Elephas maximus indicus: one gene and its partners. The protein of the gene in region 3 interacts with the protein of the main gene of each other region in a biochemical or structural test. Links are inferred from orthologs where the notes say so. Each region holds a gene or a part of one and is shown on either strand. Other genes may lie near its edges.

Region 1 (7,951 bases), on a different chromosome or scaffold from region 3:
GGAGACTTTGTTGGGGGTGGGGGGTTGGGGAAGGAAAATTGATCAGAGGCAGTTCAGGTACAACCTAATGTTAAGAGGCAAATTCTTAACAAGGTCATGCTTATGAAACTGGGACCTTTGTTCCCAAGGAGTTGCTGCTGCTCATTTCTCCCTTAAAATCTCTAGGCAAGCCCACAAGAATGAAATGTAGGATTACACCCAAAGAAAGTCAACAGGAAGAAATAGAAGCTGAACCTCTTTAGGAACAAGGCTCCTTATGTCCACATGTCCTATCATCAAGAACAAAGAAGGCAAACTTAGTAAAAAAGAATTGGCTATTCTGGAGCACTTTTCATCAAAGGATCTTGAAGTATCTTAGTAACATTAATCACCACAACTTCTCTGTGTTGAGTAGTGAGTGTTATTATCCCATTTTATAGATTAGGGAAGTGTCAGAGAAGGTAGAGGACTTGCCCAAGTTATACAGTGATTGGCAGAGCTCATCTGCCAGCAGGAAAGAAGTACAAGGTTTTTAAAAAACAGTTTGGGGTGTTATTAAAAGGGATGTAGTAGAATGGCATATTCCCACTTTCAGCATTCCCTTGACTAACACAATTGAACAATTATATGATAGTTGTGAATTGACATTTATTTAAATATACCTGCAAGGGCTTAATATTTAAGGCAGAAACGTACAGACTAATTTATTCAATTTGTTTTTGTAAAAACAACTTTTTTATGAATCTGGTTTATTTAGAGTAGGGATTGCTTGTTTACTTAGACACAGCTTATTTTTTCACTTCATAAGCATTTATTGAGCACTCATTATTGCCAGACAGTGAATCAGATATAGTTGCTGATCTCAGGAAGCTTATAATCTGGTAGGAGGAGGCAGACATGCAAAAAGTGCTCTAAAGTGTTTCAGGTGCTCTGCTAAGGAGTAGGTTGAAGCTGAAAGGTTGGTGGTTTGAAAGCACCCAGAGGTACCTTGAAAGACAGGCCTGGAAAACTGCTTCCAAAAGGTCATAGCCTTGAAAACCCTATGGAACAGTTCTACTTTGCACACATGGGGTTGCCATGAGTCAGAATCAACTTGGTGGCAACTAACAACAACAACAGGAAGACTTATAAAGTACTTCCTATGTAGCAGGCACTGTTTTAAGTGCTTTTGTGCATCATAAAGAAGGATCCCTGGTGGTGCAATTGTTAAGGTCTTAGCTGCTAACTGAAAGCATTTCAGTTTGAGCTCACCAGCCACTCTGCAGGACAAAAGACCTAGAGATCTGTTCCGGTAAAGATTTCCGCCTAGAAAACCCTATGGTGCAGTTTTACTCTGACTCTATAGAAAAAAAAAAAAACAAAAACCAGTTTTTTCTATAGAGTTGCTATTGACTCAATGGCACACAGCAACAACACCCATAATAATTATTTAACCTTCAGGAGAGGCCTATTTGGGAAGAAATTGCTGGTATTGCCATTACAAAATACAACGAATGGACAAAAAGAGATTTAGTAATTCGCTCAAGATCACACAGCTAATGAATGGTAGCGCTCAAATTGAAACCCAGGCCAACTTTGCTTTTCACTATTTCCAAGGTGTGTGCATTGCCACCTGGGTTGGCGGGAAATGCTTCTCAGGGAAAATTACACTTGAATGAGTCTGTTTAAAGAAGAAGCAGTTTGCTAGGCTGACAAGAGGAGTGTATTCCTATTAAGATGGTCAAATGAGCAACCCAAAATCCACTGCTGTCAAGCTGATTCAGACTCACAGGGACCCTGTAGGACAGACACTGCCTCATAGGGTTTCTTTCCAAAGCTGTAAATCTTTATGGAAGCAGACTGCCACATCTTTTCTTGCAGAACAGCTGGTGGGTTTGAACCGCTGACCGTTTGGTTGGCAGCCAAGCGCTGCAACCACTGCGCCACAAGGGATCCTTCAAATGAGCAATCACACTGGCAAAATGAAGCAGTTCCCTGGCATGTTTGAGAAACAGGTTCAGGAGAGAGGAGAGGGGAACATGGAAAGAGGGGTGATAGAGTAGGCCAGCTAGAGCTTCAGGGAAGGAAAAAGCGGGAAAAGGAGGAAACTTGAAAACGGTTGACAAAATTAGTTTGACAGATTATCTAAGGATTCATTTACCAAAACACTAGCATTCTCCTTTATCAGGGAGAGCTGAGAAATTTTAACTATGTTTAAGTCATTGGTTGTGTGTGACCCTGGGCAAATCACATTCATTCTCCGGGTCTTAACTTTATCATCGGTGATCTAGAGGGCCAAGGCAAATTTGAGTTCCTTTCCAGCAGTCTCATGATTTCCTGGAGTTCTAATGTGCAAAGGAAAAGCCAAATTTAACTGACAAGTGACATATTTAGATTTTCATTTTAGAAAGATGAGGACATTATAGGGTTAAAAGTATGATAAATTAAAAAAAAAATAGCTTAAACTGTGAAGTACAACACCTGCTCTGGATTATTCCACATGGGGAGTGTTACCTTGTTCACCTTGGAAGCATTTCCCTCACTCTCTCTTCTATGTTTAACACAGCTGCCTCCCCTTTAGTTCTAATGTTCTCTCCTTCCTCACTTGGACTGACTTCTTTTTTTCCCCATTCTTCCTTGGGTGTCTCCTTTGACAACTAAATTCTTCTGTGAGTCTAAATTCCTCTGAGTTTTCTTAATTGTTTCTATTGTTTTAACTACCACCCGTATATAAATACCTTCCAATTAACTGCTCTTGTTCTATATCCCCAGTGCACATGGTGCCATCTAAAAATGATATGGCTAAAATATGACTCCACATTAAAATTTCTCCAAAACCTTTCATTTTTTATTAGAAAACCATATTTTTCTCTTCTATTCTTATTCTTAGTACAGAAAAAATTAGAAAGTGTAGATGAACAGCCGTAGCTCTTAACCACTACACCACCAATATTTCCAGTGTGTAATGTAGGTGTATAATAATTATTGAATAAGGGTAGTGGAGAAGCTAATGAATGCATTCCTGTTAATAAAGATGAATTGGGTAGAATGCACTGACAATAACAAATAATAACGTGATTTCCTTGTGCATTTGGAGTTCTTATCTTTTCACCAGTTTGATAAAGACTAACAGTGTGGTGATATCTTCAGTTCGAGCACGTTTTTGAGTAGCTGATCATTCTCAAATTTACCTAAAACTCACTACTTGAATTTTAATATGTGGAATTTGAAATAACAAGTCAGCAATAGCAAGATCTCAGATTCCAGATCAGTTTACTGGAAGGCAGAGAGAGTAATACTAGGAAACATAAGAAGAAGAAAAAAAAAAAGAACTACAGTGTCATAAATGCCCTGATCCTCATAAAAAAAAGAAAAACCAAACCCATTGCTGTTGAGTTGATTCCAACTCATAGCGACCCTATAGGACAGAGTAGAACTGCCCCATAGGGTTTCCAAGGAGCACCTCTCACCCTTAAAAATAAAACAGGAAAAAAAAAAATCCCAATTATTAAACTGGTTGCTAACAGCAAGCTCCCGCTATTTTTCCACGGAGGAGTCTGGAATTATAAGTAGAAACAGAGAAGGAAGAGGTGTAAGAAGGTGGCCCCAGGCTATAATCACCAAGAAGTCAAAGAATGAATGAGGAAACATGTAAGGAGGCAAACAGGCTTGACTAGGGATTTCCTTGGGGGCTAAGTTGACAGGAGCAGCCCTGGTGGCACAAAAGTTAAGCGCAATGGAAAGGAGAAAGACCTGGCCATCTCCTCTCTTAAAGATTAAAAAAAAAAAAAAAATCCTATGGGGGCAGTTCTACTCTGTCACAGGGGGTCACTAGGAGTCCGAAATCGACTGTACAGCGCCGAAAGACAACAGGTTAACAGAACTGGGAGGATAGAATCAAGATCCTGACTTAGTAATAGCAGTCCCACCAGAAGCAGTATAGCATAGTGGATGAGAGCTTGGGCGCTTTGCCATTTACAAATTCTATAACCTTGGGCAACTAGCTTAAAATTTACGCCTTAGCTGTCATTTGTAAAATGGAGATAATAATAGTGGGTACCTCGTGGAGTAGCTGTGAGAGTTAAGACAGTTAATGGATCAGAGCTTCATTCATAGCAAACGTTCAGTCAATGTTAAACTGCTGTATTTGTGGTTGTTATTCTTCCTGTTTCTTAATACTCTGTCAGGAGGGGGAGAGATGAAGCGCTCACTCATCGCGCTAGAAGAGTGATGAACTGTTGCAAGAAAGCCTGAGTCAGGTTTCTTTTGAAGTGAGAATCCCACTGAGGTGAAGTGGCCCTGTTTCTACAGCACACACCCTTTCCTGGCCCCGCTGTGCTGAGGAGGCCAGGGCCAAAGCTGGCAGGAGGCACGGGCGGCTTCCTCTTGGAGTGGCTAGCCCCGGGCGGGCGCACTTTTGCTCCTGGATATTTGACAGCTTTCACCTCTCCTGCCTCCTGGGCACTAGAGGCCAAGTATGCTCAAACCCTAGCGTCTAGGTTTTGGAGGCGTGAGGAACATTTGACTGTCATCCCGCCTCCGGGCCCATGCTCGCCCCACTTCGGTCACTGCCAGGGAGTTCAGCTCGGACCCCGCACTCTGTGCTAGCCCCAGCTCCCCCCGCCTCCGCGCAGGCGCCGCCAGGGCCACCCCCGCCGCCATGTTGCCCCCGCCCGGGCTCCCTCCCACCACTCTCCCCTCTCCTCCCCCCTAGGTTCCCGCCCCTCTCCCTCCTTCTCCCCTCCCTCCCCTCCACCCCCTGGTGAGGTCAGCCGGAGGCTCTGCTGCTGCCCGCCCCAGCTCAGCTCCTATTTAAGGGAAGCCTGGAAAGGGGACTTCTGGAAATAACTGGAGCGCCGTTCGGGTCCAGGGTCCGCGCTCTCCACCTCCGCCAGCACAGGGTGAAGTGGCCAGAGCCAGCAAGGGGTGCAGAGGTGCGGCGGTGCGGAGGTGAGGGTGCTGGTACCTCACAGTAGGAGGGAGCCTCGATTGCGCGGAGCGACTCCCGTTTTGGCCCCAGGAGCGCAGCAGCCGGCGGACGAGTGGCGGGACCCCGGACGCGGCAAACAAGGTGAGGCAGGGTCCCGAAGTTGCAGGGGCTCCATCAGCCTTGTCCCCGCCTCCCGGCCTCCGGGACCGAGCGCCGCGAAGCAGCGCGCGGCGAAGAGTTCCCGATCTACACTAGGGCCAGTGGGACAGGGGACCAGCTTTGCTCTTTGCACGCCTCCCCTTTTTCTCCCGCGTGCGTGTGCACGCCCTCATCCGAGCACCTTCTCATTCCCACCTCAGGGTCTCCTGGCTCCGCAAGATACCTGGGTTCTTCTAGGACCCCAGAAGCCAGTTTTCCCTTTGCTTCTTTGTTATCCCTCCAAGGTCTTCCTGTCCGGGCTTCACTGTCGCTGTCCTGACGGTCTCGGGCCCCTTTGCCTGCCTCGGCCCCACTGACTCCTGTCCTCTAACAGCTTCTCCTTTGTGCCTCCCAATCCATCCCTCCCTCAGAATCTTCGAACTTGGAAGCCTCCGCCAGGAGCACACGCCTCTTCTCCCTCCAAGCTTTCAACTTCGCTCTGAACGTCTTGACATCTTTGGTTTAATCACAGTTGAGTGCTGATTTTTTGGAGGCTTACAGTCCAGCCTATGGTTTACTGAAAGTGGTGGGAACGATCCTTTCGTAAATATCAGCTAAGGAACCTGAAAGTTTCTAGGTTTCAATAACTTGGTCCACGAACCGTTGCCAGCCATCTCTCCATCCGTGTATCCTAGTCCAACGCAACCCCCATCCCCCAATAAAAAGGCCCTAACTCTTGGCCATGGGGTCGATTCAGAAGATGTAATCCTAGTATAGTAAAAAAAAAAAATTTTTTTTAAAAATCTGATTCGTCCCACCCTCCCCTCCGCTGCTGAGTCAGCCTGAGAGGACTGGTGGGACTTTTGATTGCTGACTCCATTTCTCCACCTGTAAATTGGGATGTTCAATGGTTTAATATAGCCAGAGGATTTTTAGTGAGTTAAAAAATCACTCAAATTGGGGTAGCCTAGTTACTAAGGACCCATAACTTAGTAAGACGGCCCTGGTTTTTTTTCTGGGTTAGTTACTAAGGACATTGAATAGAATCGGAGAGACTGGGATTTAAAACTGTCTTAGTCGTGAAGGAACCTGCAACAGAGGAAAATACTTACAGATTTTTTTAAAGCAAGCCACAATTTTTTACTGTAGATTTCATATTTGTATACACTCCCAAGAAACAGCATTTCAAAACCATGTAGTTTTTCAATAAAACTATTTTTTTCCGTGCATTAGACGTTAGTTTGCTTAAGTGGACTTCACAGCACCAGTTATTCTCTTAGCAATTCCACCTTCTCCTATGCAATTGCCATGTCACCTCCCACACTGAGATGCGTTTGCTCACTTCCTTGCTGTAATTAGCGCCGGCAGAAAATTCAATGGAGAAGCTGAAAGTGGAGGCAGATACGAGTGAGTGAGCACGTGTTGATGTATGCAGCTGTGTTTTAGAAATAGGCTATATATCTAATGCACAAATTTGAAAACGGAGAAAAAAATGAAATCATTAAGCACTTATGACATCATTTTACATAAGAAAAAAATTAGCCCCCTTAGCTGCAGGTTCTTATTAATATCCTTATCCTTAAAAGTAATAGAATTGTTTGCTTGATGTGTGACCGGGTATTGCTACTGACACTATGTGCCCTAACTGGCAGTAATCTCAGAAGAAACCAAGTTGTGAGTGAAGATAATAGCTGAATTTCACTATCCGAGTAGCACTTCTTTTGGCAGTGACGCAGTGAGGGCAGCTTATGCAGCAGCGTCTATTTTGAAATAAAGCCTCATTTTCCCAAGGTTGTTAAATCTACCACTTTTATAAACATGCTTTAAGAACTGTGGTGTGACTATAGGGTTGAAGTTGATGTGCTGAAGAAGGGGGGTTTTACAAGAAGAATAAAGGCCATTGATTATCCATTTAGTTCGGTTACAATGGCTTCCAGATGATTTTTATACTTTTTTTATAAATTTGGTAAATTTTTGACTTCATTTTAGTTCTATGAAGAATAAAATATAGTAGGGAAAGGGGACTTATCACAGGCCCATCCTTCTAAATCTGAACTTTCTTGGGAACTTTTTTTCAAAAAGAATTTATATCAGGTAATTTTACATGATTTAAAATATCTTTTCCTTTTGTGATTATTATTGATACTAATTCTGAACTAAAATTGTCACTAAGGTGATGGTACAGTAAAACTATGTTTGCCAGGAGAAATAGAGGTAGGTGTGAGTTAGCTGTAAGCATTTTCTCGGAATTTTTTTAATGAGTCAATATGTATTTGATAGTTCGCCTAGTACACCTACAGGTTATTATGCTGGATATTTCTGTTATTAGTAGCATAACTGCAGTTTGGTGCTGGATTGTCTTATTTCTCATTTACTTTACATTTTCAATTATTTTTCCTCAAGTATTTTGGCTTGCAATAGTTAAATGAGACTAACCAGTCCCAAATTGTGTGATTTTATTGATATTTAATAAACTATGAAACTGTCCTCAAAATATTTTTTCTTAAATCCATTGGTTGAGACATCTATTTTTATTGCTGTGAAATAACAGTTTGGTAGACACCATTAGATTTCAGAAAATCTAGAAAGATTTTGGAAAATATAACTCAAAACTAGAAAAAGTGCTTCCTCAAGTTACTTAACATTCACAGCAATCAGGTTGTAAATACATTATTCATTCATTTAGCAATTCATTTTCCAAAATCTAAATCTATTGAGCGCTTTCTATGTGCCAATGCCCTGTACTAGGCACAATGGTAAAACTTATAAGACATGATACTTGCTCTTGTGGAGTCTCATGGAGCTTATAATCTACTGGAGGATATAAATAATAAACAAGTAAACAAATGAGGAAAATACTTACTGACTGTAGTAAGAATAGAGAGGGGAATGAGTAGGAAAATGTGACATGGAGAACAGGGAAGT
Region 2 (6,871 bases), on a different chromosome or scaffold from region 3:
GTACTTCAGGATAGATCTTGAAATGATTTTTTTTTTTTTTTTTTTTTGACGATGAATGTGATGCCATTCCTCTTCAATTTGTCATTCCTGGCATAGTAGACCATATGATTGTTCAATTCAAAATGGCCAATTCCAGTCCATTTCAGCTCACTAATGCCTAGGATATCAATCTTTATGCATTCCAATTCATTTTTGACAACTTCTAATTTTCCTGGACTTCGTACATTCCACAATCCGATTATTAGTGGATACGTGCAGCTGTTTTTTTCTCATTTTGAGTTGTGCCGCATCGCAAATGAAGGTCCAGAAGGCTTACTCCATCCATGTCATTGTGGGTCATCTTCCGGCACTATATCAGACAGTGTTTCACTGTTATTCATAAGGTTTTCAATGGCAAGTTTTTTGAGAAGTAGACTGCCAGGTCCTTTTCCTAGCCTGTCTTCATCTGGAAGCTCTGCTGAAGGCTGTCCACTGTGCATGACCCTTCTGGTATTTGAAATACTGGTGGCATAGATTCCAGCATCACAGCAATAGGCAAGCCACCACAATAGAACCCAGTAGAGTATGATGTAGAGTATTTAGCAGAAAGGGGTTCTCTCTTTCTTCCTTCCCAGAAAATTGTAAGAACAAAGAAAGAGGGAAGGAGGGAAAATAATCAGACTTTGTTTCCTGTTATCTTCTGAAAAGAGAAAAGTATACCAGGTAGGTTGAGGTGAGCACCAGAGACAATGGGTTCTTGTCCCGCTACTCACTTTAAGAATGGTCATTGGGTACCATCTCATGGGTTACCCCACACCAATCTGGAGGGTCATCACATAATCATGGCATCACAGAATGGTCAGCCAAAGACAGACTCTGAACTTTACAACTCTCCTGACATGTCCTCTCTGCCTTTGTGGTGAACACTGCATTGAGAGGCAATAAGCCTCTAAAGTGGCAGAATGATGTGACTTGTAGCCATGACTGGTGTGGATCACCTGGTCTACAGGCTGGGACACCCAAAGCTGAAGGAAAACTGAATCAACAAATAGAGAAGATAGGTGATTTTCACAGAGAGGTCTGACTAAACTAAAAGAATGAACCTAGGTTGGCCAGCTGCAGATTGCTATATATATTCAGTATATATTCATCTAATATATGTATATTCAGTAAGAACAAGGGAGATCTCTCTGAAGACCTGGTGCCACCAGCACACAAACAAGGACCACACCAAGCTGGAGGTGGGGTTCTCAAAGGTCAGGAGAACATTAAGCCTCCATTCCCATACTTTCAGACACCATTTAAGAAAAAAATCAGAAGGAAAAGACTCAGAGACTGATCATTTAAACAGATCATTTGAAGCATGAGATCAGACTAAGCTTAAAATAAAATTGGACATTCAGTTGTAGTTAATACTACCACCAATAATTCAGGGGTGTGGGATCTGGAAAAGAATTGGTTTAATGATAATAAAATTAAGGCTTTTTTCCTTTTCTTTTCAAATCTAATTTTGAAAACCAGCTACATATAGTTTAGATCATAAATGCAATTTTGTACATATACATTTATCGTATATCTACTTACAGTGTTAAAAACAGTTGCAAACAGTATTTTTATGGCTATATAATAGCAGATGACATGACCTTGCTTGCTGAAAGTGAAGAGGACTTGAAGCACTTACTAATGAAGATCAAAGGCCACACAGCCTTCAGTATGGATTACACCTCAACATAAAGAAAATAAAAATCCTCACAACTGGACCAATGAGCAACATCATGATAAACGGAGAAAAGATTGAAGTTGTCAAGGATTTCATTTTACTTGGATCCACAATCAACGGCCATGGAAGCAGCAGTCAAGAAATCAAAAGACGCGTTGCATTGGGCAAATCTGCTGCAAAGGACCTCTTCAAAGTGTTGAAGGGCAAAGATGTCACCCTGAAGACTAAGGTGCGCCTGACCCAAGCCATGGTATTTTCAATCACATCATATGCATGTGAAAGATGGACAATGAATAAGGAAGACCTAAGAAAAGTTGACGCCTCTGAATTGTGGTGTTGGCAAAGAATATTGAATATGCCATGGACTGCCAAAAGAAAGAACAAATCTGTCTTGGAAGAAGTGCAGCCAGAATGCTCCTTAGAGGCGAGGATGGCGAGACCGCGTCTTCCATACTTTGGACATGTTGTCAGGAGGGATCAGTCACTGGAGAAGGACATCATACTTGGCAGAGTACAGGGTCAGCAGGAAAGGAGAAGACCCTCAACAAGGTGGATTGACACAGTGGCTGCAACAATGAGCTCAAGCATAACAACGATTGTAAGGATGGCGCGGGACATGGCAGTGTTTCATTCTGTTGTGCAAAGGGTCGCTATGAGTCGGAACCGACTTGAGGGCACCTAACAACAACATAATAGCACATTATATGAATGTACAATAACGTACTTAATCATTACCATGTTGTTGACTATTTCGATTATTTTTAATTCCTCAGTATTAAAAATTAAGTTATATGATAGACATGTTTTTGCATAATTTTCCATGTTTAGTATTATTTCGGTAGACCATAATCCTAGAATTTAATTACTGTACCCTTATCCAGACACGTGGAAACCCTGGTGGTGTAGTGGTTAAGTGCAATGTCTGCTTAACCAAAGGGCTGGCAGTTCGAATCTACCAGGCGCTCCTTGGAAACTCTATGGGGTAGTTCTACTCTGTTCTATAGGGCCACTATGAGTCGGAATCGACTGGACAGCACTGGGTTTGTTTGTTTTTATTTTTGTTTTTTTTTTGGTTTTTATCCAGACGCGGGGAAGTTCTGTGTCCAGATTCTATAAATTTGTCACAAATTCTGTAAAACAATGGACACAAGAATGTATACATCCAAGAACAAATAATGGGCGAAGGAAATAATAATATGCATAGTTTTTTTTACATAGTTTTTGGAAAATCGTGTAACCTTTTAGTAAATTGTGAATGGAGAACAAAAAAAAAGCATGAAGAAATTATTTATGATGGAATTGCACTGTGAGCAAAAAATTCAGGACAAATTCAGGATATAATATGATCACGATTTCAGAGAGATGTGTGTTTTAAATAAAATTTGAAAATATGAGCCAAAATGATAATTGAAGTGTCTGTTAAATTGTGTGCGAAAAGAATTGCAGGTAAACTCTTTTATAGACAAAAAATTTTAAGTATCTTCTTCTCATCCCCTCCGGTGCCAGGTTACCACTCAATTTATACACTGGCAGGTTCAAGGAAATTCAAAAGGCAAAGGCAGGAAGTGTAAATCTCATAGGAAAAATATGCATTTTGGAGAGCTCAGACACCGCAAAAATGGTTATACTAAATGCAGCAAAATATACGTGCACTCCTTGCGGCCCATTCAGGGCTACTTCCACTGTGACCCTAGGAAGGTCTGCTCGCCCCCACCCTCGCAACCTCATTTCCCCGTCCCCCGCCCCTCCCTCCAGCATCCCGTGCACTTCCTCTCCCCTCCACTGCACGCCCGCCCACCGATGAGGTCAGGCGAGTGCGCAGCCGCAGTAGCTGCCGCGGCCGCTCCTAACCCAGGGCATCTTGGGACTCGGCTTTTCCGGAAGGAGTGGCTCGGCGTCTCGGGTTAGGCCCGTGTTCCCGGCCCAGGCCCAGGCCCAGGCCCAGGCCCGTGTTCCAGGCTCCTGCTCGAAGACAGGCCCGTGACCGCGGCGACGCGCTGGTGACAGCGGAGGGCGCAGCGGGCCGCTTGCCGAAGTGCCCGGCTTCGCGGCGGAGCTGCAGTACGTGGCGGCGCCTGAAGGAGCGGCAGCGCAGGCCGGCCGAGGTGAACCGGGTTATTTAACTGCCTTCAGGTGATGACTCATCTGCATAATAATCAGATTTGAGGTCCGCAGCCGTTTGTGGTCCTACGGAGCAGTTTTCAGTGGATGACTGTCAGGTGTGCCCTGAGGGGTGCCACAGTTACTGCTCGCCCTTGTTAAGGAAAGCGAGCTGTATTGCTCTTTGGAAGCCCTCGTTTCCTCGAAAACATTGTTTATTAACCTCTTTCTTCAGCATTCTTCTGTCTGTGCAAGAGGAAGGTTTTCACATGAAAGTGTCTCTTGGTAACGGCGAAATGGGCGTCTCTGCCCATTTGCAGCCTTGCAAGGCAGGAACCACGCGCTTTTTTACCAGCAATACTCACAGCTCGGTGGTATTGCAAGGTTTTGATCAGCTTAGAGTAGAAGGATTGCTTTGCGATGTGACCCTGGTACCAGGTGATGGAGATGAAATCTTCCCTGTTCACAGAGCTATGATGGCGTCTGCTAGTGATTATTTCAAAGCCATGTTTACGGGTGGAATGAAAGAACAAGATTTAATGTGCATTAAGCTTCATGGAGTGAACAAGGTTGGTCTGAAGAAAATCATTGATTTTATTTATACTGCGAAACTGTCTCTTAATATGGACAATCTTCAAGACACACTTGAAGCTGCCAGCTTTTTGCAGATTTTACCTGTTTTGGACTTCTGTAAAGTATTTCTTATATCAGGGGTCTCTTTAGATAACTGTGTTGAGGTTGGACGGATTGCTAACACCTACAATCTTATAGAAGTGGACAAATATGTTAATAATTTCATCCTGAAGAATTTTCCTGCATTGTTGAGTACTGGGGAGTTCCTGAAACTCCCTTTTGAGCGGCTTGCCTTTGTGCTTTCCAGTAATAGTCTTAAGCACTGTACTGAACTTGAACTCTTCAAGGCTGCCTGTCGCTGGCTAAGGTTGGAAGACCCTCGGATGGATTATGCTGCAAAATTAATGAAGAACATTCGATTTCCACTGATGACACCGCAGGACCTCATCAATTACGTGCAAACTGTAGATTTCATGAGAACGGACAATACCTGTGTGAATTTGCTTTTGGAAGCTAGCAATTACCAGATGATGCCATATATGCAGCCAGTGATGCAGTCAGACAGAACTGCCATTCGATCTGACTCGACTCACTTGGTTACATTAGGAGGAGTTTTGAGGCAACAGTTGGTTGTCAGTAAAGAATTAAGAATGTATGATGAAAGGGCACAAGAATGGAAATCTTTAGCCCCGATGGATGCTCCTCGTTACCAGCATGGCATTGCTGTCATTGGAAACTTTCTTTATGTGGTTGGTGGTCAAAGTAATTATGATACGAAAGGAAAAACCGCTGTTGATACTGTTTTTAGATTTGATCCTCGGTATAATAAATGGAAGCAAGTTGCATCATTAAATGAAAAGCGCACATTCTTCCACTTGAGCGCCCTCAAAGGATATTTGTATGCGGTTGGTGGGCGAAGTGCAGCTGGTGAACTGGCCACAGTAGAATGTTACAACCCAAGAATGAATGAGTGGAGCTATGTTGCAAAGATGAGTGAACCCCACTATGGCCATGCTGGAACAGTGTATGGAGGTTTAATGTATATTTCAGGCGGAATTACCCATGACACTTTCCAAAATGAGCTCATGTGCTTTGACCCAGATACAGACAAGTGGACACAGAAAGCTCCAATGACTACAGTCAGAGGTCTGCATTGCATGTGTACAGTTGGAGACAAACTCTATGTCATTGGTGGCAATCACTTCAGGGGAACAAGTGATTATGATGACGTTCTAAGCTGTGAATACTATTCACCAACCCTTGACCAGTGGACACCAATTGCTGCTATGTTAAGAGGTCAGAGTGATGTTGGAGTTGCTGTCTTTGAAAATAAAATTTATGTTGTTGGTGGGTACTCTTGGAATAACCGTTGTATGGTAGAAATTGTCCAGAAATATGACCCAGAAAAAGATGAGTGGCACAAAGTTTTTGACCTTCCAGAGTCACTTGGTGGCATTCGAGCTTGTACCCTCACAGTTTTTCCACCTGAAGAAAACCCTGGATCACCTTCTAGAGAATCTCCTCTTTCAGCACCTTCAGATCATTCCTAAGACTAAGGTATAATACATTTGCAGTGCATCATGGATGATCTCTTTTCCTTCAGTTGTATTTCTTTTTACAGTGATTGGTACAGTTATTAGATAAAAGGTAATCGATGTCATTTGTGTTTTTTTGCCTTAGTATGTTTACCAAACGACTAATAAATGCATTCTGAAAATGTGTTCCACATAGCCAGCTGTTTTAACAAATGAAAAAAAAAAAAATGTGTAGAAAATGTTTAAATTAGATGTCTTCTTGTGGTGTTGTGTAAGTCAAATTGGAGGTGATTGTAGTAAATACACTCATGTTACAGAGTTGCAAGTTTTCATCTTTACCTGCAGGACATCGAAGGGAGGCAGCCTGTTGTAACCTAAAACAAGTATTGTTAGCTGACCTCCTCTTTTCGTAGAGCTTTTAACCTATCTGTGAACTGAACTTACCAGATTGTATGGATTCACACTATGAGACATTTCTTGAAAACATGAGAAATAATAAATTCAAAATATTAACTTGAAAAATCAGTAAAGCCCTAAGTCAGAGTTTGATATCTCTTTTTAGAGAGTTAATACACATAATTTTAAAATCCATTTGCACTTCAACTATGTGTGAAATTGTTTTTACATTAAAAAAATTTCCCCACAGATCAGCTATTTCTATTCATATGGGAATTCTGTACCAGAGGATACTGAATTTAGATAGATAAGGGCTGTAACATTAAATTGACAACCAAATTTGTCATTTGACTAAATTGTTGTGTCACATGAAATTTACATTACTTTTCTGCTTTGCTGTTGAAGTAACTTGTACATTGTTTTATGTAGAGTTGCTTTTCTTCAGGTTATTTAGCAAAGTTCAAATTTCAAAGAATTGTTTTTACTCAATGTAGGTTTCACTATTTTTGTTCAGTAAAACCTAGGAAAAAAGTGAAGAAATAATGCTGAACAAAGTTAAAGAATTTTA
Region 3 (7,329 bases):
GCTCATCAAAAGTGCGGCTCTTCTGCAGCTCCTTGTAGAGCTCCCCCCGCGGGGCATACTCCAGAATCAAGTAGACCCTCCGGCGATCATAGAAATAGTTGTAGAGACGCAGAATGTTGGGATGCCTGGGGAAGCACAGAGGAGCCTCAGTCTGCATCCTGGCTAGGAGCCAGGGAAAATGACAGGTCCATATGGGGCAAACAGGACCGGGCTGGGGACGCCAGGGCTGGGAGTGGTGAAGGGGAACACAGGTGAGGATGGGGACAGCTCTCTGGATTCATGGCTCTGGCCCAGTTGAGAGCTAAGCAGACACAGCTGCCTGGAAAGCAGGCTGGAGGTGGTGGAATGGAAAGAGAAGCTTGGGGCTGGGGGTGAGGGGCAGAGGGGCTTTGCTTGGAGGGTGTTGACCTACTGCAGATGGGCCTGGATTTCGATCTCTCTGCGCAGTTGGTGCTCCACACCCTCCTTCTCTATCTGAGACTTGAAGAGGACCTTGAGTGCCACGATGAAATGGCTTTTCTTCTCCCGAGCCAAGTACACATTTCCAAACTTGCCTTTACCCAGAGGACGCCCAATCTCAAAGTCGTCAATTGTGAAGGGCCGCCTGATCGGAAAGTGAGGGGAAGGCCGCTCAGTGCCAGGAGGTGGCATGGGTTTGTTGGTCATTTAAATTGTTTGTCTTCTCCCTACTCCTCAGCCCATCCTGCTCTCAACCCTCTTTCTCTTGGAAGGGAGCTGAGAATGGACCAGACTTTCCTGCCCCATCCCTACTCCACCTGCCCCTGGGGTTTACCTCCCTCGTTTCCTATCCCACCTCTTCTCTCCCACCCCGAGGCTTGGGGTACTTACATTAAGAAGCTGGGTGTCCCACTGCTGTTCTCTGTCATCTTCTTCTCACCAGGGGCAGCTAAGAGAGAACAGGTAAGTTGAGGCCCTCATTTGACCTTCTCATCCCTGTGCCCTCCCCATAGGCTCCAGTCCCTTCAGGTCAATCCTCTCCCTCGTCTGAGTTACCTGTGGGCTGGGCATTGGAGCGGCTCATGAGGACAAGTGCAGATGGGGTGGCAAGGTCTTTCCGGAATACTCTTTGGGGCAGGGTGTTTAGGCCAGATTGAGCCTGAGAAGGAGCAAGGGGTAGCTCTGAGGCGCTTTTGTCCCAGTGACTGGGCTGGAATGTGCTACGTGTAGCAATTTAGCTACTTGCTATGGAGCCACGACTCACTCACCCCCAGCTCAAAGAGGAACACTGATAGAATTCTGCCACCCAGCCCTAAGACTCTGCTCAGAGCACAATATTACAATGTGTTATTAGTTATCAGCCTAAGTTAGACTTATATAAGGATCAAAAGACTCATCCCAGCGCCTCACGTTTCACCTTTTTGGCCCTGGCCCACACCACATTCTCAGGTACAAAGCTCTCCAGCCTCTATAGTCCTGTCCATAACATCACATTCAGTCACCCAGGCCCCCCACCCTAGGGAGCAGTAGTGGACTGGGTCAATGAACACCCACAATCCGAGGAGTTTTAGCACAGAGGTATTCTCAGTCCCCTAAAAGCCCAGTCTTTAAGGCTCAGGTGAGGTCCTTGAAGCCTTGGACGTTGCAGCAAACACCAGTAATTAGCCCTTTGCACCAACAGGCTTTTCTGGACACTGAGGACTACTTTGGTGGCCTGGGACCACTTCTAATTTTCAACCTCTCAGGTTAATATACGCAACTTTCTTTTGGGAGTGACCAATGTAGAGGTGACAGTGGTTTCTCATTCAGCCTCCACTCTTAACAACCTCACTAAGTGCTCCTGGAGGGAGGGAACTGTTGGACAAGGGATAGATGGACCCTCCAGGATGCCTAAGCCACACCAACAAGGGAGCTAAGCCAGTGCAGTGTTTCTTCAGCCCAGAGAGGAAGAAACCCTAGTGCCCTTAGAAACCTGTCCCAAGACAGCAACAAATAAACAAGCCCCAAAATAGACCCACATATATTTGGGAATTTAAAACGTATAATACAGGTGGCATTTCAAATCAGAGAGTGAACTCTTCAGTGAAAGGTGTTGGGACAACTGGCTAACCATCTAGAAAATACTCTATTTAGATCCTTCTGCACTCTAGTTATTAAAATAAACTCCAAATTATTAATTTAGACTTGTCCTTGACCTTTTAAACATCTTATTTCTATTTCCGGTCTATCTTATTTTTTTCAGGACAAGGGTAGGGAATCGTGGCTCAAAGGCCAGACCCTGACTCTGGCCAGACGCTCAGTCCCAGCTATCACTTGAATGTGACAAGTAGGCTCAGTCAGCCCAGCAGAGGGGCCAGTGGTTGGTCAGATTCAAGTTCACAGCACTTGAGAAGCCTTTAGGACGTGGCTGCGAAAGACCAGACCGGATTCTTCTAGCAAACTCTTGGAGCCCATACAGTGGAGCATACTAGCGAAGAAAGTGCTAAGAGGATCGGCCTCTGCAGGACCCCAAAGCTGGCATTGGGCGCCTTAGACAATCTCCAAGCAGTATCTCGCCATAGGGATAGGGGGAGGAGGGAGAGGAAAGGGCCTTACCGTCTGCCGGCCGTAGGGCCAGGGGTAGGCGTTCTCCTTCTGGGCCATCCTTAGAGGGAAAGGGGGCGGGGAGCTGAGCCGGAGGAGGGAAACAGAGCCGTGAGAAGAACATAGAATGAGCGCACGAGGGAGGGGTCTGACCTTTCTAGCCGGAAGCGCCTGCCTGGGGCTGGTGGAAAGGAGCGGATCAGCACGCTGGCCAGAGTAGTCGGGATCCCGGCGCTTGCCATTTCGTCCCTCCCAGCTACTGGCCCCACTCCCCTCCAGGACCCTCTCTCCACTTTTATACGCCCAGCAGCCCAGCGGAATGCGCGCGGGCCCGCCCAACGGACCCCGACCTGCCTGATCACCTGTCTTCTCCCGGCGCAAGGCCCGCGGAAGGGGGCTAGCTCACCTGGAGCCGGCAGGACAGCTGCTCTCCCTGCCTCCCGCAAACGACTGAATCTGCCCCGACGCGCCCCAGCCGAGGCGCTTTCAAATCTCCCGCCCTGACCCCATTGGCTGAGCGCACCGCCCATGCCCAATTCTTATTGGTTGGATGTTCCCTGACTTAGGCCGTGGGAGCCCAATGGAAACGGCGGAAGGCGCATTTCCGCACTCTCGCATTCCGGTATGGAGAGGTTTTCTTTCCCCGAATCAGATGTTCTCAAGTTTGTTTTTTTTTTTGTTTTTTTTAATTTAAATCTTTAATATCTCTGGAATTAATCCGTGTGTGTATGAGTTAAGATGTAACAGATGGGTAGTCAGTTATGCCAAGACTATTTGTTAAAACTGCCACATTCCCAACGTGATTTAAATGCCACCCTTAATATATGAAGTTCCGGTTTTGGGTCTGTTTCTGGGCCCCCTGTTCTGTCACCTTATTTGTTCGTTTGCGTGTGTGTCTGTCCTTGGGTCATTACTATTTTGTTCTTAAAAGTCCTGCATCCACTAAAACGTCCCTAGGAGGAAGTATATGGACGTTTCTCTGCAAGTTCTCCTGCGGTTGCCATGTTGTTTGAACCTGCTCCGCCGCCTTGCTGCAACGTTCGCCTCTTTTCTGCTCCTTCCGACGCAGAAGTAACCCCACATACTGGTTTTGCCTGTTTTGAACTTTGCATAAACAGACCCATACAACATGTATTCTTCTGTGCCTGACTTCTCTTGTTCAATACTATTTGTGAGATTCATCCATATTGTCGATGTACTACTGGTTTTTAAATATACATGAACACGATAAAATTTAAACAGTTCGGTTAAAAGTAAGACTCTCTACCACCCCAATTGCCTAGTCCTCTACTCCTATCCCCAGAGGCAACCATTGTCATCCGGCTCTTCTGTGTGCCAGCATTTTGTTGTCAAAATGATTCATCCTACCAGTAGAAAAATGAAAAAATTACAGTGTGATTGTGAAGAGGAACTTGAAAGCCCCGGTCCCAGCCACACTCCCCAGAGGTAAATTCTACTAATGTATTTTGATATACCCTTCTAGATCTTTTCTATGCACGTATTAGTTTGATATACCCTTCTAGATCTTTTCTATGCACGTATTAGTTTGATATACCCTTCTAGATCTTTTCTATCACGTATTAGTTTGATATGCCCTTCTAGATCTTTTCTATGCACGTATTAGTTTGATATACCCTTCTAGATCTTTTCTATCACGTATTAGTTTGATATGCCCTTCTAGATCTTTTCTATCACGTATTAGTTTGATATACCCTTCTAGATCTTTTCTGTGCATGTATATGTCTGTCCTTGAAAAAATGGCACAGATGGAATCATCACACCCATTGCTCTCCGATTTACCTCTTTAAATCTTTCAGTTTTCCTTGGACATTTTCCCACATCAACACAGTCAGACATAACTCATTCATTTTTAAAAATAATTTATTTTGTTGTTAAGAATATACACAGCAAAACGTACACCAATTCAACAGTTTTTACATGTACAATTCAGTGACATCGATTCCATTCTTCCAGTTGTGCAGCCATTCTCACCCTCCTTTTCTGAGTTGTTCCTCCCCCATTAACATAAACTCACTGCCCCCTAAGGTTCCTATCTAATCTTTCAAGTTGCTGTTGTCAATTTGATCCCATACAGATAGATCTTGGAGGAGGTACAGCCAGAATGCTACTGGCATAAGGATAGAAATATAGATCAATGAAATAGAATTAAGAGTCTAGAAATAAGCCTATATATTTATGGTCAATTGATTTTTTTTTTTTAATTCTGCTTTAGGTGAAAGTTCACAGCTCAGGTTAATTTCTTGTTCAAAAATTTGTACACATATTGTTTTGTGACACTAGTTGCAATCTATGTGACTCCTCCTTTCCACCTCAGGGTTCCCTGTATCCATTCAACCAGTTCCTGTCCCCTCCTGCCTTCTCATCCTGCTTTTGGATAGGAGCTACCTATTTGGTCTCATGTATCTGATTGAACTAAGAAGTACATTCCTCACGTGTATTATTTTTTTGTTTTATAGTCCTTTCTAATCTTTGTCTGAAGAGCGGGCTTTGGGAATGGTTCAGTTCTGGCTTAACAGTGCATCTGGGGGCCATAGTTTCAGGGATTCTTCCAGTTTCTGTCATGGTCAGTTGATTTTGACAAGTGCGCCAAGACCATTAAACGGAGAAAGAATAGCCTCTTTAACAAATGATGCTGGTACGACTAAATAAATTTCCACGTGTAAAAGAATGATTGAACTCTTACCTCACACTATATTCAGAAATTAACTCAGAATGAATCAAGAATCTAAAAGTAAGAGCTAAAAATACACCTTAGAAGAAAAAAAAAAAAACAGGAGTAAATCTTTATAATCTTTGATTTGGCAATGGTTTGTCAGACACCAAAAGCACAAGCAATGAAAGAAAAAAAAGATAAAATTAAAAGCTTTTGTGTATCAAAGGATACTATCAAGATAGTGAAAAGACTTCCCACAAAATGAAAAAAATATTTGCAAATCATATATCTCATAAAGAATTTATATCCAGAATATATAAAGAACTCTTACAACTCAACAACAAAAGGACAAATAATCCAATTAAAAAATGGGCAATGGACTGAGACCAGAAGAACTAGATGATGGCCGGCTACCACCAACGACTGCCCTGACAGGGAGCACAACAGACAGTCCCTGACAGAGCAGAAGAAAAGCAGGGTGCAGAACTCAAATTCTAGTAAAAAGACCAGACTTAATGGTCTGACTGAGCCCGGAGGGACCCCAGAAGACATGGCCCCCAGACTCTTTATTAGCCCCAAACTAAAACCATTCCCGAAGCCACCTCTTCAGACAAAGATTAGACTGGACTATAAGACATAAAATGATACTTGTGAAGAGTGTGCTTCTTAGCTCAAGTAGATATTATGAAAATAAATGGGCAGCTCCTGTTCAGAGGCGAGATGAGAAGGCAGAGAGGGACAGGAGCTGTTTGAACGGACAGGAGAAACACAGGGTGGAAGGGAGGAGTGTGCTGTCATAGAGCAACTAGGGTCACATAATAATGTTTGTATAAATTTTTGTATGAGAAACTGACTTGAACTGTAAATTTTCATTTAAAGTACAATAATTAAGAAAAAAGGCAATGGATCTGAATAGACATTTCTCCAAAGAAAATATGCAAATGGCCAATAAGCACACGAAAACATGGTCAATATCACTGATTACTAAAAAGAAAACAAAAACACATTGCCTTTCAGCAGATTCCAACTCATAACAACCCTATAGGACAGGGTAGAACTACCCCACAGAGTTTCCAAGGAGCTTCTGGTGGACTTAAACTGCCCACCCTTTGGTTAAGCAGCTGTAGCACTTAGCCATTATGCCACCAAAGTTTCCTCGCTGATAATTGGAGAAATGCAAATCAAAACCACAATGAGATACACTTCATGCCCACTACGGTGGCCATAATAATTAAAAAAAAAAAAAAAAAAGGAAAATCACCAGTGTTGGCGAGAGTGTGGAGAAATTGAAACCCTTGTGCATTGCTGGTGGGGATATAAAACGGAACATATGCTGTGGAAAACAGTTTGGTAGTTTCTAATAAATTTAATATAGGATTACTGTATGACGAGCAATTCCACTCATAGTTACATATTCCAAAGAACTGAAAACAGGTGCTCAAACAAAAACTTGTACACGAATGTTCACAGAAACACTATTCACAATAGCCGAAAAGTGGAAAAAACTTAAATGTCCATCAACAGATGAATGTATAAACAAAATGTGTCATAACTATACAATGAAATATTATTCAGCCATAAAAGGAATGAAGTTCTGATACATGCTACAACATGGATGAACCTTGAAAACATTAAATGAAAAAAAGCAGCCACAAAACGACACGTATTGCATGATTCCATTTATATGAAATATTTACAACAGCCCGTGTAGTCGTGGCCGAGTGGTTAAGGCGATGGACTAGAAATCCATTGGGGTCTCCCCGCGCAGGTTCGAATCCTGCCGACTACGCTTCGTTGGAAACCCTGGTGGTAAAGACCTTGGCTGGTAACCAAAATACCTCCAGTTCGAATCCACCAAACCTGTTTCACAGGGTCTCTAGAAGTCGACAACGACTCGTTTGGTTTTGGTTCTGGTATCCAGAATAGGCAAACCCATAGAGACAAGAAAGCAGATCAATAGTTGCTAGCTAGAGGCTGGAAACCCTGGTGCGCAGTGGTTAGGTGCTATGGCTGCTAACCGCAGAGGTCGGCTGTAGGAATCCACCGAGCGCTCCTTGGATAACCCTATGTGCTATAGGGCAGTTCTGCCCGGTCCTGCCCCGCCCTCACAATTA
Region 4 (7,673 bases), on a different chromosome or scaffold from region 3:
CAATTTAGAAATGAACAACAATAAAAAGTCTATACCTCAAAACCTATGAGATACAGTGAAAGTATTACTAGAGAAAAACATGTGATCTGAAAATATACCTATTACAAAACAAGAACATTAAATAGTGGAGCTAAGCATTCAACTCATGTGTTACAAAGAGAACATTAGAGCAAAAGAAGTATTAAAGGTAATGCAACATAAATGAAAAAGAATAAACAAAAAATATAGGGGAGATGAGAGGGCATAGGGGGCCAGAAGCTACACGAACGGACACAAGGACAGAAAGTGGAGGGAAGAACTGTGCTATCTCAACAGAGGGAAAGCAATTAGGAGTGTATGGCAAGATGTATGTAAATTTTTGTATGAGACTGACCTGATTTGTAAACTTCCACTTAAAGCACAATAAAAATTAATTAAAAAAAAAAGTAGTACAGTTGCTCAATAAATAAAATCAATGACCAATAAAATGGACAAATCTCGGATAAGTTTAAAACTTTGCATAAAAAAATAAAAAAAATACAATCTACAGAAACTAACATCTTGAAGAACAAAATTAACTTCTGAAATGTTGTTTAAGGTCCAGTCAAGAAAAGAGAACCCACAAATAGTTCAATAGAAGGGTTTTAAAACGGCAAACTAATCATAAAGTTGTCAGAAGAGCTGAAGAGCAAGTGGGGGAAGGCAAGGCAATCCAGAGATGGCTTGTGCTGGGCAGTGGGTGGGGGCAGCGGTGGTTCAGTGGGAGAGTTCTCACATTCCACACAGGAGACCTGGGTTCAATTCCCAGCCAGTGGACCTCATGGCAGCCACCATCCATCTGAGGCTTGCGTGTTGCTATGATGCTAGACAGGTTTCAATGGAGCTTCCAGACTGTGACTGAGTAAGAAGAAAAGCCTGACGATCTACTGCTGAAAGTCAGCTAATTACAGTCAGATCCCAGACGGATGATAGGATGGCAAAGGAACAGGCAGCATTTCGTTCTACTGTGCGTGGGGTTACCATGAGTTGGGAGTTGAGCCAATGGCTGGCAGTGGAGATTTTATCCCTGGTTAGGGAATGTGGACCAAAGAAACAGAGCAGTGTCCAGGTGACTAGTAACATTTAGGAGAAAGAAGGTGGCCCCAGACCCAGGAGATAAACAACTGGCATCCACCCCTCCCCTGCACCAGTCAGCCATCCAGTGCCTGGAGGCCGCCTTTAGTAAACAGGTAAGGGCAGTCACAGAAAATGTAAAGATGGACACGACTAAAACTCATCAAACAACTTAAGAAAGCCAACAGCATGAAAGGAACCAAGCTCAGCAAACAAAATAACCAATACCAGAAGCATCTCAGTTATGGAGGAAAAAATACAAGGAGCTTGAATTCCAAGCACAGGTAGAAAGGGTAACAGAAAGGCTCTGAGAAGGTGAGAGGAGGATCTGACCAAGGGCCCGTGCAGAAGTGTTCAGTGCCCATTTGAGAAAAAACTTTTAGTCTGGAGTGGAAGGATGCTTCTACATAAGAAAGCAACAGATAATATCATACTTAATAATATTCCTGTTAAAATCAGGAACGAAGATAGCCAAAGCACTACTCTTATTTCGATATTAGCCTCAGGGCCTCGCTAATACAATAAGAAAACATAAATAAAAACACATAGAACTTAAAAAGGAATATAAAAGTCATTATTTGTAGACAATATAATGGTCTACTCAAAAATTTCAATTAAAGCAACTAAAAGACTATTAGGATGAACAAGAGAATTCAGCAAGGTGGCTGGATGCAAAGGTTATGTTTTAGGAAAGAAAAACCCCAATCACAACTGCAGCCTCTCTATATAACCTATAATACACTCATTTTTCACCCTGCCCTTAGCTATAAGCTAAACAGTTGCTATGAGTTGGAATCCACTCGACGGCATCAGGTTTGGATTTTTTTTTGGCTATAGAACAAGAGTTAGAAGATAAGTAAAGCAGTTGCTGCCACCCATCCACAGGACAGAAACTGAGGACCACAACTCGGTCCTCCTTCCCAGGGACACAACTTATGGAAGGGAACAGAGTGAGAGCTCTTGGAGTTAGCGGGCTTGGCTCAGCGCCAACACTGCCACTCACTGAAGAAAACAACCCTGGAAAGATCCCTTCTAAGAGCAGGATTGCGTTTGAAATTGTTACTGAAAGCCGCCAATACTTACGCAATTTTAAAAAGCACAAACACAGATTTTTAAAAATCCCGTATCTCCTGGAACAAGCTGGGTGACTTTGCTCAAGTCATCGGGCCTCAGTTTTCTCATCGGTACAATAGGGACAATATACAGTTGAGATAATGTACCTAAAGAGCTTAGCACAATGCCTTGTTAGTTAGTGGTTAAAACGAAACTCAAAACAGTTGCCGTGGAGTTAGTTGATTCAGGCTGATGGCAACCCCATGAATGACCGATTTTGGGACAGTAGATCACCAGGCCTTTCTTCCGAGCTGTTAGGGGTAAGGGCTCAATAAACAATAAAGAGAATGCAGTCCTTTCCTTGTCCAGCCCCTCGGCCGCTCCCGGGACCCCTGCCCGATGGCAGGGCCGCTCGGCCCCTTGCGGAGAAAGGCCACTGGGCCGGGAGGCGGGCGACACCGGCTCTACCGCAGCTCCAGCCCGGCACGCGAGTGCCCTTCCCTGTCTGTGACGCGGACCGGCCGTGCCTGCCTCACAGACGGGCTGCAAGTCGGCTCGGAGGGAAAGGGGCCGCGGCCCGGTTACCTGAGGGCCGCCGCGGGGCCGGGGGCGTCGGGCTCGGGCTGCGCCTCCGCGGGGTTTCCGGCTTGCGGCGCCTGCGGCGCGGGCCCATGGCTGGGCCGGAGGGGTCGGCGCTCGGCCCCGAGCCAAGCGTGCGGCCCCACTCCACGGGCTTCGGGGGCGAAAGGCTGGCGTCCGAGAGCCCAGGGCCGCGTGGGTCCGAGAAGCTGTCGCTCGGAGGGTAGACAACGCTGAATCCCCGTTCAAAACGTTCGCTGCGGCTACTTCACTACCGGCGTTTTTTAAACCCAAATTCAGCTACTCCCAGTGGCTGACTCTGGAACGCCCATGGCGTAGAAGGCTGCGGGGTGGACCAATGAGAACACAGGCCGGCGGGAACGCAGCGGGGCGGTGATAGGAGGAGGGCCGGGATCGACGGTGAAACCGACCAACCGACACTTGGCGAAGTGAAAGAAGGCGGGAATTTCTCCTGCCGCGGCTCGTTCGTGAGGGTGTTCTCTGAGCAGTCAGATCGCTCGTTCAGTGTGACCGCTGGTCAAAGCCCCAAACCGAACTCACTGCCGTGGAGTCGGTTCAGACTCGTAGCCACCCCATAGGGTTTCCAAGGCTGTAAATCTGTAAAAAGCAGTTGGCCACATCTTTCTCCCACAGAGCCGCTGGTGGTTTCAAACCGCCAACCGTTCAGTTGGCAGTGAATCGCCTTAATACTGTGCCACCAGGGCTTCGATGCTCAAACAGAGCAAGCTCAATTTGAAAAATGCGTTTGTAGAACGCGTTTCTCTAAAAAAAAATTACTTTCCTTAGACATTTTATGTTTGGCCCTATCAACCCTGTAAATTAGCATTTGAAGATGAGGAAAGTGAGGTCCACAGGGAGTACGCAGTGACGTCACTGGGAGCAGGGTTGAGGGGTGGGAAGTGCTGACTCTACCAGGTGACACTGCCGGAGAAGGTGACACCAAAATGACTGTCTATAAAATTTTTGCGCAGTGTTTCAGCAGAAATTTATTATTTTATTTAAAAAATCCCTGTAGTTATAACAACAAAAACTTTTTTGTAAGCCCAGCTTATATGTATCAATATATCTACAAGGCTGAAACTCCATGCTAATTTACTTTCTGAACGTGCAAACGCACTCTTGAAGCCCCGGTGGCTCAGTGGTTAAGTGTTTGGCTGCTAACCAACAGGTTGGAAGTTCGAATCCACCAGCCACTCCTTGGAAACCCTATGGCTCAGTTCTACTCTGTCCTGTAGGATCATTATGAGTCAGAATCCACTCAAGAGTAATGGGTTTGGTTTGGGGTTAATGCACTCCGGTCAGAGCTGTCATTGTTATCCAATTATGATGACGCTTGGAATCACGTAGTTTTGTCTATACCGTGCAACAAGGATGTGCTGTTGTTTTCATTGTTGCCAGTGTTTTTATAGTCGTCGATTTTGTCAAATTTTCTGATATTTTAGCTACAATATTGTGGTAATTAGTATTTGTGAACCTATATCAAAACATTTTTTGAGAATGAAGTAGTAACTAAAGGAAAAGAAGTAGTGATATACAGAATTACGATTTACAAGTAGCATGAGTACAAAAACATTACTGTGGATTCTGTATGGTCTGGTACAGGATGAGGTCCATGCAGGGTGAGGGGTGACACTATGAGTTACTGCACTGGGTGACACTAACCCACGTAATGCACTCTTGTTCTTTTAAGAATAGTCCTTATCCCTGATCCATTAGAAAAGCTCAATAAAGGCAGCTGCCATGCCTATAACTACTGGGGAAGCTCCCTCTACAGAGGATGCCTTCTCATGGGAATTGACATCCATGGCACCCAGCAAGTAAGAAGCATGAGGAATTCCCCAGTCTGAGGCAGCAGCACAGTATCCCTCACAGTGAGGCAGAGGGAGCTAATCACTGCTGGGCTCAAAAGGCATTCCCTAGCCACCCGATGTAGATGTTCCCCAGATTTTACTTTTTAAGGAAACCTGTGAGAAAAGTACTGCATATCTTTGCTTAAGAAGATTCTATTTAAATGTTATAAAATGTAAAAGCTATGGAATAAAAAGAGAGAAGGGCTTTTTAAAAAAAAATTTTGGCCAAAGCCAAAGTCCTTGGTGCAGAGGGGAGACACAATGAGTTACCACACTAGCTGACACCAACCCTAGTGACCCCACTGGGATATGACAATTCCATGTTGTGCCTGTGACTCTTTCGTGAACACCCTCTAAATATGACTCAGAAGTCGTTTCACTGCATAAGCTTTATTGACTATTAGGGCCCAGGGGACAACCAGGATCACCAGGCTTCTGGCCATGAGTTTCGGGCGGGGCAGGCCTCATCGCTATTCTTGGATCACACTTTTGACTTAATGACTTCTTCTAATTTCCTTGGCTCCATCTTGTCCTGTTAGGGGATAATATGAATTCAGTTCATGTCTTAGAAAAAAAGGGGATTTAATTTTCTACACTTTGCTTTCTTGCATTTTCTAAATGATCCACACTGAGCTTGTACTATAATCAGGAAAAATATTAATTAAAAAATCAGTGATTTCAATTATGCACATGTTACAGTGTTTAAGAGTGTGGTCTTTTGAAGTAAGGGAAGTCAGACCTGCCCCTAGGTGTGAAGGCAAGTTACTGAATTTCTCTAAGCTTCAGTTTTCTCATCTGTAAATGGGGATAATAAGAGTCATCTAGAGGTATTTGAGAGTGTGAAACAGAATAATGCGTAAGAAAAAAATTAAAGCAGTCAGCAAGCACTGAAGTGGTGATGCAAACCTTTGCTGAAGGTTTGAATTGTGATGAAGTGTTGACAAGAAGGAAGAACAAGCATTTGCTAAAGCTATTATCATGAAAATGATGAGGGATATGACACCGCGCCATGAAGAGGGAATTGGGGGAAACTCTTGGGTGGAGGGTATTGAGGTTGAGGGTATTTGGGAGTCTTCCTCAAGAAGGTAGAGCAGAATCATGGTGATTGGGAGGGATTTGGGAAGGTGGGACTGAGGGGACGGAGGAATGGTGTGTCAAACAAAGATCACAGCCTGAGAAGAGGCAAACCAGCGGAGGTCATTTGGAGAGCAAAGGTTACCCTGTTTGGCTAGATGTAGGGATGGGCGATTAGTGACCTCATCAGAAGAAGGTGGATGGGGACTAGAGGGTGAGGGTGTGGGGGTTGATGGAACCTGTGTAATCTCAGGAAAGTCACTGTTACTTTGCTGAGCCACAGATTCGTTATGCATTTTTCTTTTTTTTTAATTAGGTTGCTAAGTCAGATCTAACATTACTTGTTCTATGACTACACAATTTCTCTGACAGGACAGTGGGGAAGACGGGAAAGGACATTAGGGTACAATATCTAAAACTCAGAAATTTAATTCTGCCCTCTCAGCTAGAGTACAAGCTGCCCACTAATTAAGTAAAACATTTCTCAGACACCATACGACCTCTGGAAACCCTGGTGGTGTGGTGGCTAAGTGCTGCAGCTGCTAACCAAAAGGTTGGCAGTTCACATCCACAGGCGCTCCTTGAAAACTCTATGGGGCAGTTCTACTCTGCCCTATATGGTTGCTATGAGTCAGAATCTACTCAATGGCAATGGGTTTGGTTTTTTGGTTTATCCCCTCTCCCCCAGCTGTGTGGCTGAAGACAGCAGGGGGAGAATTGAAAGAGTGGAGAGGAGGACCAGCTAGTGGTAATGCACTCTTATAAATTCTCTTAGCTAAGGAAAGTGAATTTTTATTAGCCCTAGATGGGGCAAGTGGTTTGCGATTGGTTGCTAACAGAAAGGTTGGCTGTTCAAACCCACCCAGGGACTCTGAGGAAGAAAAAGCCTGGGGAATCCGTTTCTGTAAAGATTACCAAAACCAAACTAAATCAGTGGCTGTCGAGTCGATTCCGACTCATAACGACCCTATAGGACAGAGTAGGGTTTCCAAGGCTGTGATCTTTTGAGCCACTGACCTTTCCATTATCAGCTGAGGCTTAACCACTGCACCCTCAGGGCTCTTTCCATAAAGATTATGGCCTAGAAAACCCTATGGAACAGTTCTGCTTTGTAACACATGGAGTTCCCATGAGTCAGGGGCCTCCTGGATGGCAGCAAACAACAACGACACAGAGCTGAACTGTCCAGGATGGAAGGCACTAGCCACATGTGGCTCTTGAGCACTTGAAATGTGGTTGCTCAATCTGAAGTGATGTAAGTGTGAAATACATACTGAGTTTTGAACACTTAGTACAAAAAGTTAATACCAAATATCTTATTATTAATTTGTTATATCGCTTACATGTTGAAACAATAATATCTTAGATACCCAAAACCCAAACCCAACCAGTCATTGCTGTCAAGTGGATTCCAACTCACAGCCACCCTATAGAACAGAGCAGAACTGCCCCATAGGGTTTCCAAGGCTGTAAATCTTAATGGAAGCAGACTGCCACATCTTTCTCCTACAGAGCAGCTGGTGGCTTCTAATCACGGACTTTTCGGTTAGCAGCTGAGCACTTTAACCACTGCACCACCAGGGGTCCTTAACATCTTAGATATATTGCATTAAATAAAATATATTAAAATTAATTTTATTTGTATCTTTTTACTTTTCTAATGTGCCTACTCTGTAACATACGGGATCGACGTGAGTAGGGCCCAACTCTAGGGCAGCTAACAAGTATAAATTTAAGATTACAGCAGTGGCTTACATTGTATTTCTATTGGACAACACTGACATAGAACGTATCACTTTTGTCTGCACAATTTTCATGATTCACTTAACAGACAATTATTGAGCATCTATTATGTGCCAGGCACTGATATAGGGGGTGGGGATAATGCAGCAAATTGGACAGACACGGTCCTTGCCCTCATAATGCTTATGTTCTGGTGGGAGGGGGAAAGCATAATAAATAAACTAATGAAAAAATTATTACATATTATGAAAATAAACTCAG

Evidence for each region.
Region 1: of the proteins of AURKB (region 3) and KLHL13, one has a biochemical effect on the other in vitro, tested with the Homo sapiens proteins (2 studies listed by BioGRID and IntAct, with this or other methods). The link is inferred for Elephas maximus indicus from reciprocal best matches to the Homo sapiens genes AURKB and KLHL13.
Region 2: the proteins of AURKB (region 3) and KLHL9 form a complex in vitro, tested with the Homo sapiens proteins (2 studies listed by BioGRID and IntAct, with this or other methods). The link is inferred for Elephas maximus indicus from reciprocal best matches to the Homo sapiens genes AURKB and KLHL9.
Region 4: of the proteins of AURKB (region 3) and CENPA, one has a biochemical effect on the other in vitro, tested with the Homo sapiens proteins (3 studies listed by BioGRID). The link is inferred for Elephas maximus indicus from reciprocal best matches to the Homo sapiens genes AURKB and CENPA.

Annotation. Positions count from the first base shown.
Region 1 is NC_064846.1:38,901,455-38,909,405, forward strand, and holds the start of KLHL13 (kelch-like protein 13), read left to right. Parts: upstream 1-4,935; 5' UTR 4,936-5,029; intron 5,030-7,951. UniProt on the Homo sapiens protein: Substrate-specific adapter of a BCR (BTB-CUL3-RBX1) E3 ubiquitin-protein ligase complex required for mitotic progression and cytokinesis.
Region 2 is NC_064827.1:30,999,971-31,006,841, reverse strand, and holds the start of KLHL9 (kelch-like protein 9), read left to right. Parts: upstream 1-3,859; 5' UTR 3,860-4,068; coding exon 4,069-5,922; 3' UTR 5,923-6,871.
Region 3 is NC_064837.1:12,566,369-12,573,697, reverse strand, and holds the start of AURKB (aurora kinase B), read right to left. Parts: upstream 3,007-7,329; 5' UTR 2,948-3,006; intron 2,627-2,947; 5' UTR 2,602-2,626; coding exon 2,554-2,601; intron 1,118-2,553; coding exon 1,015-1,117; intron 908-1,014; coding exon 850-907; intron 605-849; coding exon 413-604; intron 126-412; coding exon 1-125. UniProt on the Homo sapiens protein: Serine/threonine-protein kinase component of the chromosomal passenger complex (CPC), a complex that acts as a key regulator of mitosis.
Region 4 is NC_064830.1:45,052,055-45,059,727, reverse strand, and holds the start of CENPA (histone H3-like centromeric protein A), read right to left. Parts: upstream 3,020-7,673; 5' UTR 2,819-3,019; coding exon 2,731-2,818; intron 1-2,730. UniProt on the Homo sapiens protein: Histone H3-like nucleosomal protein that is specifically found in centromeric nucleosomes. Replaces conventional H3 in the nucleosome core of centromeric chromatin that serves as an assembly site for the inner kinetochore.